Linked DNA regions of Arabidopsis thaliana. The protein of the gene in region 1 interacts with the protein of each later gene in a pairwise test. Each region holds a gene or a part of one and is shown on either strand. Other genes may lie near its edges. The genes, in order: AT4G37180 and AT2G33710.

Region 1 (7,745 bases):
TTAGCATTAAATCTTTTTTCCAAACTAATTAATTTTACTTTACATTCTTAATTTAAATTGTCAATCACATTATCAATCAAATTTAATCCAAACAAACTTCACATCAATCCCTTAAAATTAGCATAAACATATTTGTTAACAATATTTAAAACAAAATTTTTTGTTTAAATAAATATTATTCTTACTAAAAGTTTTTGTTTAAATAAATAAATCATGTATTTGAACTTATTTACAATGTCATGTTACTGACATTAATTATTTAGGAATGAAAATATTTAATTAAAGATCTAAATCTTCTAAATCTTCTAAATCCTTACTTTTAGATTTATTGTGTCATTACCTTAAAGGTAACAAATATTAACTTTTTAAATATAATTATTTATATATTTAAACTTAATAAAACATTATCAATATTTAAACTTATAAAAAGTTTAATATGTCACAATTTTTTAACATCATTATATAATATATAGAGTTTAAAAAAAATTCAAATTTTTTCCCTTATATTTTGTGATTCGAAATTTTAAAAATAAACATATATTAACCAATTGGCAAAAAATGTGTGGGTTCAACGTCCCGCATCGACTAAAATATTTAGACAATGATTCGTAAACATATCATAAATAAGATCAACATTAATAAAATCAATGGGTTTTTTTACGAGACGGGTTTGGCATGAAGAGTTTGGCATAACGTTATTTAATAACAACTGTAAATTATAAAATAAAAATATTTTATAAATAGATACAATTTACAAATATTTATATATACTAACTTTAAAAATAAATTGTTCCGCAGTACGCCGCAGATTAAAATCTAGTAAAATTCTATTATTGATGACAAATATTATAAAATTCTAAAATTTCGAAATTATATGACTGAAACGAAAACCAAATAATCAACCCATGGGATTCTTACTTAGATTAACCAAAGACATCATTGGATTCTGGCAGATAGAAACGAAGAAGAACCTTATCCTCAAATTAGCTAGACAGAGCAAAAGCCATCGTTTGTTAAGAACAATAATACAAAAAAAGTTAGGGACACGTGTCGCGAACCCACGATCGAGAATCTAATCAATCAACGGCATCAAAATCTCGACGTCTTTATTACAAACAAAGTCGAGACGTTTCAGTTCCTCCTTGAAAGAAAAAAACGATTCTCATGATAAAGAATCTGGATTAGTTGGACACGTGTCCTGGTATAGTTGGCTAACAGTGAGCCGTTTCTTTTGGTCCGTCCGTTAGATTCCTTGTGGTCTTTATTGTTTATAGGTCCTAGGCATTTTACATGCTACTGTGTTTCGGAATATCTTTTTGTTAGAGGAATCAAATGTTATTTTGAAAAAATTGAATGCTATTTTAAAATTGAAAGAAATTTGTATTTGGCTAGCAGGAAAAAGCATGGAATAAAGTAGCTTTGCGTACTGGGATCTTTTACATTGGATTATGCGAAAGATCCTTTTTTCTCATTTTGCTAGAGAATTCTTGAGTTTTATTTCATATAATAATATTAAGTATAATTCACCTTTTGAACGATATAAGTTTTGATTAGTAAAAAAAATGGATGAGTAGTGGAATAATTTGCAAGAAATAATGGTGCTACATAAGAATGATCAACCTAGTTTCTTGAAAAGAATATCAACACTGAAATGAACAAAAATATTCATAATACGATAACCAAAACCAACTAAACCATGAAAAGGGCACTTATAAACACAAAGGTTACGTGATTTCTTGAAACTAATGCTCACCGTGAATGTAAATGGACGTTGCGTGTGGTAAAAATAAAGAAAAGACAAAGAGATCTTTTGACCACTTCACTCTTTTAAAATCACATACGTATGTGTCGATTTCTAATACAGCTAGTAGCTTGTGTTAGCAAAATTTAGTATAATTTTTTTCCGGGTAAAATGTTTAGTATAATTTTTTAGTAAAATTTAGCAAAATTTAGTATAATTTTTCTATTCGAAAAGATAAACTAAAGCGAATATGTCCTATACTAGTAAAGATTAATTATTTATACGGCTCTACTAATTTAGTCTAGTTATATGATAGTAGTACAAACTGAAGTACGAATTTATGTATCGTACTACTTGCATAAACGTACATGTGGTTTTGCCTATCTAAGAACATCGTTTAATTAAACCCGATTGTATAGTTTGAATGTTTTATCGGTTTTTAAACGAGTGGTTCGAATTCCATGAAACCGAGATTTCAGTATAGCTCTGTGTTTGAGATACAATAACAAATACATGAATCCATAGCCCATAGGCCATACACGGTTATGCCCATTCGGTATTGTTGGTCTAGCAAAGTTATTTCTGACGATGTGCTACATGTACTATGTGGTACATACCTTTTTTATATTCAACATTTAATCTCATATCATGTTGACTATAAATGTATAACTTTCAAGCTCATAACATTTAGGTTATAAAAAGTCAATATTTGTTGTAGTCTAAATCTTCTTTATTTCAAACGTAATTTTTTACTCCAAAAAAGTGTAACTTATCTACTTTTAATTGTTAAAGTAGGAAAATAAAATTTGATTTTTCTTTAAAAAAGTAGAAAATTGTTAATTTTGTACAAATAAATTTGATCTTTCTTAGTTATAGTTTGATTTTGTTAATTCCTTATTTTTAATTTTTTATCCAATAATTGAGTTGCTTTATTTTATTTTTAGTCTTTCAACAGATTCTTTTTATATTATCTTTAATAAATATTTTAGTGGGATATTTCACAGCCTGAACCACTCCATATGCAGAAAATAGTGTTTGTAAAATATTATAGATTCTTCAGAATCCTCTTTTTAAGACTAATTTGGGAAAATATTAAATACAGGATAACAGGAATATGAGAATCTTGAATGAGAAGAGCACTAAAAACAAAATAAATAACAAGTTTCCCAAAACTGAAAATTGTAATATAATTAATAGCCGAATTAAAAGGAAAAAAATCCTTAAAGAAAAATATAAAAAAAGAGAAGAATAAATATATATAAGTGAGTGTAACGATTCGCCGCGTGTGTACGGGCATCACAAAAAGATTCTTTCTTCCATTTAAAGATAAATCTAATTTTAATATTGACAAAAACACCCTCAAGTCTCCACTTATTTACAGCGGCTACGGTTCACCGCGTCCTTCTTCTTCTTCCCTAATCTCATTTTTTTTTTGTTCTCATTTATCTTCTTCAGCATCTTCATCATCTTCTTCTATATATACCTCTTTAAGCTTGCTTCTCTTTGTCTTTATCTTGTCCGATGGTTCAAACAGAAACCGATCAAAGGATGGGTCTTAATCTGAATTTGTCTATCTACTCTTTACCAAAACCCTTATCTCAATTTCTCGATGAAGTGTCGAGGATCAAAGACAATCATTCCAAACTGTCTGAAATCGATGGTTATGTCGGAAAATTAGAGGAAGAAAGGAACAAAATCGATGTTTTTAAACGAGAACTCCCTTTATGCATGCTCTTATTGAACGAAGGTATCTTTTATTAAAATTCTCTCCTTTTCTTTTTTTTATCTTCTCTAATCGATTCGTGTTTTTGTTTAAAGAGATTGTTTTTCTCTGTGTAGCGATTGGGGCGTTGAAGGATGAGGCTAGAAAAGGGTTATCACTGATGGCATCTAATGGGAAATTCGATGATGTTGAAAGGGCAAAACCGGAAACTGATAAGAAGAGCTGGATGAGCTCTGCCCAGTTATGGATCTCGAACCCTAATTCCCAATTCCGATCGGTACGATCAAAAAGCAACCCTTTTTATGTTTTGTGAAGAATCATATGTTGTGTGATTGATCTTGTTGACCTTATGATCATGTTTTGACAGACAAATGAAGAAGAAGAAGATCGGTGTGTGAGTCAGAACCCATTTCAGACATGTAATTACCCTAATCAAGGAGGGGTATTTATGCCATTTAACCGTCCCCCACCTCCTCCACCACCAGCTCCTCTGTCTCTCATGACTCCAACATCAGAGATGATGATGGATTATAGCAGAATTGAGCAGAGTCATCATCATCATCAATTCAATAAACCTTCTTCACAGAGTCATCACATTCAGAAGAAAGAGCAGAGAAGGAGATGGTCACAGGAACTTCACCGTAAATTTGTTGATGCTCTTCATAGGCTTGGAGGGCCACAAGGTTAGTCCTTAACCTTAGTAAAGGATCAAACTTTGCTTTAGATTTGATTGATTGATTATACTGAGATTGTTTTGTATTGTTGTTGTTGTTGTTGTTGTTGTTGTTGTGAGACAGTTGCTACACCAAAGCAGATTAGAGATTTGATGAAAGTTGATGGTTTAACCAATGATGAAGTCAAGAGCCATTTACAAGTAAAAGTTCTCATCTTTTACAGTAACTTAAACTTTGATGTGTGGATGAATGAATGATTTTGACAGTGCGGTGAAATGAAATTGTTATTGCAGAAATATAGAATGCATATCCGTAAGCATCCGCTGCATCCGACAAAGACTTTGTCATCGTCGGATCAGCCAGGTGTGTTAGAGAGAGAATCGCAGAGCTTAATAAGTTTGTCGAGGTCGGATTCGCCACAAAGCCCACTTGTTGCAAGAGGGTTGTTCAGTAGTAATGTTGGTCATAGCTCAGAGGAAGATGAGGAGGAGGAGGATGAAGAGGAGGAGAAGTCTGATGGACGTAGTAGCTGTAGAAATGATGAAACAAAGAAGAAGAGACAAGTGTTGGATCTTGAGCTTTGAAAGTCTGCATAGTGAATGATATAATCTTTACCAACTTATGTTATATATGCTCAAAACTTTGAGTTTGTTCGGGAGTTTTTGTAGATGTAAACATGAGAGTTGAAATAAGGAAGAGGATTTTGAGCAAAAAGTAGGGTTTGTTTTTGCAAGAGGAAATAGATAGAGAAGAGTGTTCGAAATCCTCTGTGTTTTTTTTTTTTTTTTTTTTTTACTTCATAAGTAAGATAAACTCATATATCAAAGATTTTGTTTTTATACTTATTACAGTCTCAACCATGTGAATGAAGGAGTCATTTGTTTAGTTTTACCAGCTCGTCATACTAATTACCTTTTACCTTCGAAAACAGAGGATGAAGAAACATCACAATCTTTGTCTCTTTCTGTAACTCATCGTTTTCTACAAATCTACGTAATCTGAGAGAATAAGTAAGGGGAAAAAAAATAAGAATCTTTTATTGCATAAAATCGTACGAAAAGATAAGATTTTTCGTCTGAAAAACGACAAGATTTATTTTCACTATTGAAGGAATTGACAATGTATATAGAAAAAATCTACTCACTGATTAGTGATTTGATGAATAGTTTACTTCCACGAGATTTGCATGTTTTGTGGATAAAGCTTCTTGCACCATGTAACATACATTAGCCAATAGTATAGGGTAGATATTTATCTTTTGACATAATTTTCTTCAAATTTGTTATTTTTATTCAAAAATTCAAATAGTTACTCTCTGCTTTTCACAATTAATGAGTGTATATACTAAAGACATTTAAGCGGCAATGGAATATTTGTTCAAATTGGTTCGGTCGATTCAGTTTCTAAACCCAACCGGTTTATTCACCCGGTTATTTCGAGTCAATTTATGTGGTTTTGTGGTCTCTGGGCCTCACGGGGCCGCCTCTCCGTCTTCATCAACATTCTCAAACTCTTTTACAAATCTAGGCTCGACGAGGGTTTAAGCAATCACCGGAGCTCTTAGTCTCTTACGCTGTGAGCTAAGAACCGACCTTTTGCTTAGTTTCTTTCAAGTCTCCAATCAAACAACCATGAGAGAAATTGTGACGATTCAAGTTGGAGAATTCGCAAACTTTGTTGGCTCTCACTTTTGGAATTTCCAGGTTAGAGAAGCAAAACCTCCTGTTGAACTCTCTGCTCCGATTCTTTTAACAATGGATTCTGGGTTTTGTCTGTCTCTGTTTTTCATTACAAAAGTGTTTGTCTTTTTTGCTATAAATCGATTGGGTTTGCTAAAGTTGAGAACTTTTACTTGAAATGTAGGATGAATTGCTCGGATTGGCTAGTGACCCTGAAAGCGATCCAATCTTTAGAAACCATAATCTCGACATGGATGTTCTCTACCGCTCCGGTGAGACCCAGCAGGTGAGAGATGATTGATATTTCGTTGACTTTGATCAATCTCACTTGTTTTTGCAAATCTCAACATTTGTGTGGCGGAAATTTATACAGGGGGTTGCTACATACACTCCTCGTTTGGTTTCAGTCAACTTAAAAGGTAATAATCTTAGCTTTATCTTTCGATTAGAAGATTCTGGATTTGATATATAATGGTGGTTTATATGTTTACATCTGAAACTGTTTCGTCTTTCAGGGGCACTAGGGACCATGAGCTCACGCGGTACACTTTACAACGAAGGTTCTTCATCAAGATCAGATTCTTCAGCAACCTGGTCAGATTTGCTAAGTTTTTATGGTTTTTAGGTTAATTCAATCTTAGTGCATATAAAACTTGATTTTAGAGTAATAGCTTGTTCTTCAATTCAGGTGATGTGAATAATGTGATCTTATCTTTAATTTTGTGTCTTGTAGGTTTGGAGATGTTGATACTCAGAGATCTGAACCTCGAAAGAGGAACTTGTTTCTGCAAAGTTTGTACGAGGAAGAACATGTAGTGGGGAAAGAAAAGGCGAAAGAGATTGAGGACAAAGATATTGTTGGATGCTTAGATGAGGAAGTTGAATGTTGGACTGACTTCTCTAAATCCCATTATCATCCTCAAAGTTTATATGAATTGAACGGATTATGGATGGACTCTCAGGCTTTTAACAATTATGGAATTGGTAAAGACGTTTTCTCTGAGGCTTCACGTGGAGAGGAAATATGTGACAGACTCCGTTTTTTCGTGGAAGAGTGTGATCATATTCAGGTTAAGCTTGAGACATTTTTACCTTTTCTTTTCAAACTTCTTTTACTTTCTAACAAATAGTATACGTTAATGATGATTACAGGGTATTAAGTTCCTAGTGGATGATTCGGGAGGATTTTCCGCTGTAGCAGCGGATTTCCTTGAAAACATGGCAGATGAGTACACGAATGTACCTGTATTGCTATATTCCGTAAGGACTCCAATGTCACAGATGAGCTCGAAAAAGACAGTTTCAAACAAGCTTCACGATGCGATATCGTTTTCTCGACTCTCATCCTTTTGTAAACTCTTCACTCCAATCGGTTTACCATCTTTGACAGGAAGTACGCAACATTCTAACTCTCATTGAAACATAACTCTTTTGATTTTCTCTCAATGCAACTGACGATTTCATGTGTCTTGTTTATCTGTTTTGTTGATTTTTAAAGGTAAAGCATCAAAATTTCTTAATCTCGGTGATGAGAAACCTTATCGAAGCAGTGCAGTGTACGCCGCTGCTCTACATTCAAGCACAATACCTTTCCGAATGCAACCCACTAGCTCAGATTCAAGTGAAGTGTCAAATTCTATGGATGTTAATACACTTGTACAGCTTTTAACGGGTCGTGGTAGACAAAACATAGTGGCGATTTTAGATTCTGCAATGCCAGCTCCTACATTAGCAGGGAAGCAATTAGAGAATACTCTTTTAACGAGTTTGCAAGCACTAACGCCGGAAGTAACTGAAGATGTAGAAGACAATCAAGCGGTTGAGTCAATGTGTATACTTGGAGCCCTTAGATCAGAAGATAAAGAAGCATTGGTTTCAGAAGTGAAGAATGCGGTTGATGCATCTTACGAACAGGCAACCACCAAAGG
Region 2 (7,725 bases), on another chromosome or scaffold:
CTTTATCTTAGACTCAAGTTCAGAGAGCTAAGGGAACGTAGATATATAAATAATTTAGTAGCCACCTTTGCCTTAACTTTTTCAGGTATTTTCCTGTTTAAAAAAGGAAATCCATTTGTTATAGAAAAAAGGAAAATGATTTATGTGAAAACTGAATATTACCTTTGTAGTTATTTTTATTCTGCGTTTGAACTATGAAGCTGTTAATTTTCCATTTCTTAGGGTTTGGGTTTCCTATGAAGATGAGTGTGCGTCTTAGACTTTTGGTGCCAACTATCTCTATTTGCGTGAATCAATGTTCAGATTTAATATGGTTTGTGTTATCATAAGAATTTTATTTCAATATAGATGGTCATTACTATGACAAGAGATATTCAACCTACATGGGCTAGCGAAGCCCACAACATAGCCCAATACAGCTAGTTTTCTTTTTAAAATGCAGTCATGCAGATATGTGTTCAATAAGTTCTGTTTTGTTTTAATGTGAACAAAGAGGGAGGATCGGAGCTTTTTCAACTTATAAGATTTTAAGTTGAATTTGTGAATTAATTGTGGTAAAGATCATTGCAAGAGTGATGAGGACCTACATGAGCATAGATCGTGTTCCGGACAAATCTGCCCGATTCAGAAATCAGAATCCTCATTGGTTAGGCGGACATATCACATATGTAAACGACTTTATCCATGACTAAGCTAGTGTAGGCGTGTAGCCACACAAAAAACTTAAGAATATTGTGGGGTTATTTTTGTAGTATTCATTACCATTTCCAAGAAGTATAGCTACCGATGATTTGTTCACTAGTATAGTGGCCGCTATTGTGTTGTCGTGGCCATGGATATTGACTTGGTAACTAATTTTGTAGCTGGTCACAACATAAAGTTTTGTAACAATTCATATACGTAACATGAATTGTCTCATAAACATACAATACCAATAGAGACTGTGGAAATGCCACCCTCACAAACTGTATATACAGATATGAACTGTTCTATAACTTGCTACATAAAGTACTAGTAAACCAATTGAACCCAAGCACAAGTTACTCCAAAACAATATACAAGTTACTCCGTAACTCAATCTCAGCAAGACGACATTTGCGCAGCTTCTCAAGACTGATGCAACCGTGTGGCTCCACTAAAGCTCTTTTATTGAATCTCATAAAATTCTCTTGTATATGTTCCCTTGTTTTTATACCTTTTTGGCAAAGTAGCAATTATATTTATAGGTCTAACTTCTTGTACGCCCCAACTTTCATTCCTTACTGATATTTACAATTTAGCAACAACAAAAAAAATAAACACAAACAAATATCGATCAAAGCGTTCTGACTAGATCATGTGGTTTAGATCAAAATTAAAGCACTATCGTAACTAAACATACGTAATTTATTATAGTATTACAATGTGTTCATCTAATTGAATAGATGGCATACTAAGTAAAAAAGATGAATGCAACAATCAATGTATATACATAATTCAATAAATACTTAATTAAAAGATATAAATACAAATATAACACTAGGTCAAAGTTGGCCAATAAGAATAATTCTTTTGTGGCAATCATATAGACTACGGCATGGTCTTATGCTATTGGTGTGAGATTGGAGTTGATTTGTTCGTGCGAAGTTTGCTCTGACTATAATATTCAATGTTGACCACATATTATGTAAGCCCATACGTCATCTAGGTCTTTAAATCAATATCTTATATGACACACTTTTAGATTCCCCATTCGGTCAAATGTTTTATTAATTTAGAAAGTAAGTTTATATTGTTTCAGGTTATGTTTTTGTTTGTTAAATATTGTGCTTTTTCTTCAACCACAAGTTTATATGATTGAAAAATAATTCATCAACATCATGCATGTAATGACAATATTTTTTTTGTTTTTGTGTTTCTGATAAGGCGCAATGACAATATTCAACCCCATAAAAAAATCCCTCAACCATTTTTAAAATGGCACGAATCGTCCAAATTGCTTATAATAGAAATATTAGATTAGAATCCACAGTCAGATCCCACATATTATTATTAAAGAGATTCATCGCATATTCCATTCCAGTTGTTTTATGATGACTTGTGCAGAGTGTATTCCGTAAAACTATATATGTAGCGAATAGAAACAGAGTTTGTCCTTTAATTTTGAATATTCATCCTAATTAACCATGAACTTTTATATATTACATAAAACAATTTAAAAACACACTCAACTGTATTGGATGACATAAGCGACTTTTAATTAGCAAAAATATTATGCTATTTTATTTATGTGATTTATACAGTACGTTGTTTATTAAAATAAAATGATTGTGCAAAACACATATGTATCTATATATATATATATATATATATATATAAAGACATTAAAGTCAAATGATAGAAAATACATTATTTACCTAAATAATTGGTGTTTACATGTTTATATATATTAAAGTGTTTCTTTGATTATATGTTTGTCATTTGCTCATTTACCTAAATAATTAGATATTCATCATGGTCATTTAGGTAAATTAATTTTTTGGTGAGTCATTTAGGTAAATTATTAACCCTTTAATGTTCAGGATGAAAATAATTATTTAAATCCACCACATATATAATAAATAATTAATTTTAACTTAAAATGTTGACCGTAATTAACACAAGACTTGGATCATAATTAATGAATTTTGTATAAGACAGTCGTTTTTTTTTTCGTCTTTTGAGACACGCAATCGATTTTGGGTTAACACAAACCATTAATACAACTACATAGTGGGTCGGTCGATGCAGTCCGTAATGTAACGTTTGTTAAGGAAAATTAAAGAGATGAATACAAAGAATTGTTTTTAAGGAACAAAAAAGTGTGTGTAATGTTTATGACCAAAATATCCTCTAGGTTAGACAAACTCTCTATAATATTGGTCAACAAATACATGCGTGTGCGTCTATATATAACATAGATGCAGAGAATAGACATCTTTGCTGGTTCTTTGGCTTGTACCCAAACCCATCTTTGACTTCAAAAATAAAATAAAAATAATCATAATTGACATCATCGGATAATGCATAGCGGGAAGAGACCTCTATCACCAGAATCAATGGCCGGAAATAGAGAAGAGAAAAAAGAGTTGTGTTGTTGCTCAACTTTGTCGGAATCTGATGTGTCTGATTTTGTCTCTGAACTCACTGGTCAACCCATCCCATCATCCATTGATGATCAATCTTCGTCGCTTACTCTTCAAGGTAATTTCATCAGATCCTTTTTCCAATAATTTTAATTGCTATACTTTATAACTCGAGTGATTGTCTTTTCCATTGGTGATTCTCTTTACACATAGGAATGATTTAATCTTGGATTTTGCAATTGGTAATCCTTTAGTGGCTGCAGCATGGCCTTGATCAAATAGAGATATAATTTCATGTATGGCCACAATGCATTAGTTCAATTTACTATATGATTTTTTTAATGAATGTTCATGGTTAGATTTTCTTGAAAAAACCTGTCGGCTTTATTGGTTGGACAAAATTGATCATATTTGGCTTTCGGACAAATATGATTGGCAAGGCTTGGTTGCAATGGTCGTATTTTGGTTGAGATAACTAGCCAGAGAGAGTTTTAGGATTGTAACATGGGGAAAACGTATTTAAAATGATCAAACTTAATTTATATCCTAATTATATCATTGGTGTGATACATAAGTATATATATAGTTAATTACCAATTACGAGAGAGAGGAATGTATAAATGTAGGTTTGGCCTAATATATAGATTTCATAAGTAGATGTAGAAGAGGGGAATAAAAGTTGATGTAGAATGATCATATCATATGATTCAAACGCCCTTTAATAATCTTTACGAAATGCCTCTACACCGATAGTATACGTTATATTCATAGACATGCACGTCACATTTAAGTCACCATTTTCATGACAAGAGTGAACTTACAATTTTCATCATTTTTCTACAGAAAAAAGTAACTCGAGGCAACGAAACTACAGAGGCGTGAGGCAAAGACCGTGGGGAAAATGGGCGGCTGAGATTCGTGACCCGAACAAGGCAGCTCGTGTGTGGCTTGGGACGTTCGACACTGCAGAAGAAGCCGCCTTAGCGTATGATAAAGCTGCATTTGAGTTTAGAGGTCACAAGGCCAAGCTTAACTTCCCCGAGCATATTCGTGTCAACCCTACTCAACTCTATCCATCGCCCGCTACTTCCCATGATCGCATTATCGTGACACCACCTAGTCCACCTCCACCAATTGCTCCTGACATACTTCTTGATCAATATGGCCACTTTCAATCTCGAAGTAGTGATTCCAGTGCCAACTTGTCCATGAATATGCTGTCTTCTTCGTCTTCATCTTTGAATCATCAAGGGCTAAGACCAAATTTGGAGGATGGTGAAAACGTGAAGAACATTAGTATCCACAAACGACGAAAATAACATGTTAATGGCATAAATATCTCTTCGTCCAAGTTATCAAACGCATTGACCTCCGGCTTTGATCATTTTAGGCGCTTAATCTCTTTACGACTTCATTTTGGTAGTCTTTAAAGAGTCTATGGAGTGGATTTAGCTAGGAATCAGGCCTTATGGATGAAAAATATATAAATTTTGAACATGACTATGCAAGAATGGGATGAAGACTACTTAGCTTGGAAAACGTCCTGATAGGTCATGACGACTATATCCACAGAAGATGACCGACGGAGACAACAACATGCCTCACCTGATCGACCGATCAAATGAGATAATGTGTTGACCGGACCGGTCGGATCAGGTTGGGTCGAGTATATCAGGTAGAAAAAAGCTCGTACATGGTGCTTTATGTCTTTCCACTCCGAAGTAGCTTGCTAGTTTATCCTTTTGTATCACGTACGAAAGAGATAAAAAAAAAAGTTCAAAAACAAATATAGAGGGTATACACATGATGAGGGTGTTCGAGTTTCCAAAACATAAGCTAAATTTTTTTAAATATGTACTTACATTTATATCTGTCTTATTATCCAATGCTCATATATTTTTCAACGCGTTGAATGATGAAATGGTTGGTAAATAAAAATGAAACTAAACTAGGTAACAGTCTGCATATGAAACGATTAAAAAACGATTCAAGTAAAATTATTATAAATAAATTATTATATAGGATACACATATCGACTGCTAGTGTATAAAACAAAACATGTAGTAAAAGTTTTTTTGTTCTATTCAAATTTGCGATTATTTCATATAAGTGTATCTTTCACCAGTTAAATAACTGAATGGAGAAAAAGGTTCAACATTATGAAAAATTATTCATGAAAATTATTATCTGTGAAAATATGTTTTATGTTTTTAAAAATCAAATTCACATCTTGTGTGTTTTATTGAGTAATCAGAACCATTTAACCTGTTTTTTGCAAAAAAAAAAAAAAATCACGTAATTTGATGGACAAATCCACAAAGAATCGCGATCACAAAATTAAAATCAGAACTAATATGCCTCTTAGATGATTACATGTGGACACTATCAAATCTACACTATTTATGTTAAATGCTATGTATCATCAAAACATAATAATTTACGTATAGATTCATTAAACAATAATAGTATATGATATCATAAATTGCTATTGTTTTATATAGTGTTTCTCAATTAATCATAATAAATAATATAGGTATGAAATCTAAACATTTTAATACCAAAATCATTTGTATGTATTGACCTCATAAAAGAGGATAAAAACTATCCTAATATATTAAACCCAATTTAGAACACAAATTACCATCATAACTCACAAATCACAACAAACAAAATACAAAAAGAAAAAAGAAAGAAAAAATATAGAGATGAACTCAAAGAAAACAGGCTTCTTTTAATCTTGTTCCTTGTATCACCCTTCTGTGAGTTCTTCACTCATACAAATATATTATAATTCATTTACTCATATATCAGTGTGTTAATATGTATAACAATGAAACACACACATATATAATTTATATTTATGTTCTAATGACTATAACATATAGGTGATACCCTGATTTTTAATGGATTTTTAAAAGTAAAAGAACGAATACTATTTAATGTTGATTCAATATCAAGTGCTATTTGCTGTGGTGTAAAATATGAAAATTTTAGATTCATTTTTTTCAAATGAATTAATTTATCTAGGAATTTTCAATTTGTTAGTTTCTTTATTGTGAGCTTAAAGATTTCTTAAAAACAGTAATCAAGTAATCAACACAAACAAAAATTGCGGTTTTAGTTTCAGATCAGAATCAATTGAATTGGCAAAGCAGCCATATTTTTTTATTGGATTATAAATCGATTTTTGGTTTTTAGGATATATAAAACTAATGTTAACAAAAAAATTGTACGGTTTTTCATATCAGTTTGTTATGCTTAACTAGGCGGTTCAAATACATTTGGTTTATCCAAATTGAACACTTACAACTTTTTAAAAATTATTATCTAGTATTGTTTTCTTTTGGATAATCTATTTGAAGGTATGACGATGACAGAAAGCAAAAGATGTCACAAAGACTCAGATTGCAAAAACAAAGTACCATGTGCAATTCCTGTTGCCTGTCTATATGGCGGTTGCGTTTGTACATTAAAGCAGTCTTTCTCTGCTTGTAAACTTATGTGTGCACAGCAGGGAAAAAACACTATAAACCGTTTTGATTCTGATCATTGTGTTTGCGGCGTTAAGTAAGAAAACAAACATGTTGTAATATAACAAGAGAATTTGCAAAACTTGAATAAAAAGTATAATTTAAATTTGTTTACTTTTCTTTTATAATAACAATTCTTTCTATTCAGAATCAAACAAAAGCTACAAAGAATAATTGTAAAGCAGCGCATTACAAAAGTCTTTACACTAGAGGATGAAAATAAGTAGTATTGTTTACTACCCAAGAAAAGATGAACATTGTATTGTATAGTAACAATCTAATTAAGGTTGCTATGGAAACTTTATATATCTGTATCTTTATGTTTGTACTGTATATCTTCCTTTTGTATACATGCAGATTTTTGCTTTAAATAAGTTATACCGTGTTGGCAATGGTCTATTTAGTTCATCTACAATCTCGAAAACTACATTCTTTAGCCCAATTGTAATGTGGTTTTCACCAATGGATAAATGAATAACATAGAGCTCACCAAAGACACAATTTCCAAAGTCGCTTATCGCTCATGATGAAAAGAAGAGTAACCTTAAAACTTATAACACCATGGTTCACAAGATATTGCATGAACCAATAAGAAAAGATGAATACCATACGTACCAAGAAAAAAAAATATAGTAATCAAATAAGATAACGACTGTGCTAATCCTAAATACTTGCCATAAGCTTCAGATCCTTGGACGTCTAAATTTGCATGGAAGACGATATGATAAAGAGCAGTTCAGTGAAATATCGACTGCGGAATGTGGAATCCCATAGCTTTGATACGCAACGAAATCTCGCTATAGACTTTGCCGACAATTTCAAGAGTATCTCCAATACGAGATCGTATGGGATCTGTTCCAAGTTTACTCCTTCATTCATCGGATTCGAACAAGCTCGTGTCTTCATCATGGTAGAGACGCTTCTCTTAAACACTAAAGTCTCTTTTGTTTTCCATTTGCTAAATTGAAACAGAGATCTAAGTGTTTCTTTAAATATAATGAATATATAGGGGTTAATGTGAACTGTCCTAATAGTATGAGGGCCTAAATGCAAATAATAAAATTCTGATAAATTTTTTAATGAAAGGAATT

What was found.
Region 2: the proteins of AT4G37180 (region 1) and AT2G33710 interact in binary tests that used the Arabidopsis thaliana proteins (3 or more experiments, as listed by UniProt).

Annotation. Positions count from the first base shown.
Region 1 is NC_003075.7:17,501,386-17,509,130, forward strand, and holds AT4G37180 (Homeodomain-like superfamily protein), read left to right. Parts: upstream 1-3,178; 5' UTR 3,179-3,262; coding exon 3,263-3,488; intron 3,489-3,559; coding exon 3,560-3,741; intron 3,742-3,831; coding exon 3,832-4,147; intron 4,148-4,261; coding exon 4,262-4,338; coding exon of another isoform or gene 4,339-4,395; exon of another isoform or gene 4,396-4,431; coding exon 4,432-4,722; 3' UTR 4,723-5,119; downstream 5,120-7,745. Other genes in the region: AT4G37190 (plasma membrane, autoregulation-binding site, misato segment II, myosin-like, tubulin/FtsZ protein), read left to right, coding at 5,770-5,841, 6,002-6,103, 6,191-6,236, 6,333-6,411, 6,551-6,887, 6,970-7,210, 7,316-7,745.
Region 2 is NC_003071.7:14,255,969-14,263,693, reverse strand, and holds AT2G33710 (Integrase-type DNA-binding superfamily protein), read left to right. Parts: upstream 1-2,954; 5' UTR 2,955-3,041; coding exon 3,042-3,222; intron 3,223-3,947; coding exon 3,948-4,387; coding exon of another isoform or gene 4,388-4,423; exon of another isoform or gene 4,424-4,654; coding exon 4,655-4,729; 3' UTR 4,730-4,885; downstream 4,886-7,725. Other genes in the region: AT2G33705 (F-box family protein), read right to left, coding at 7,334-7,543.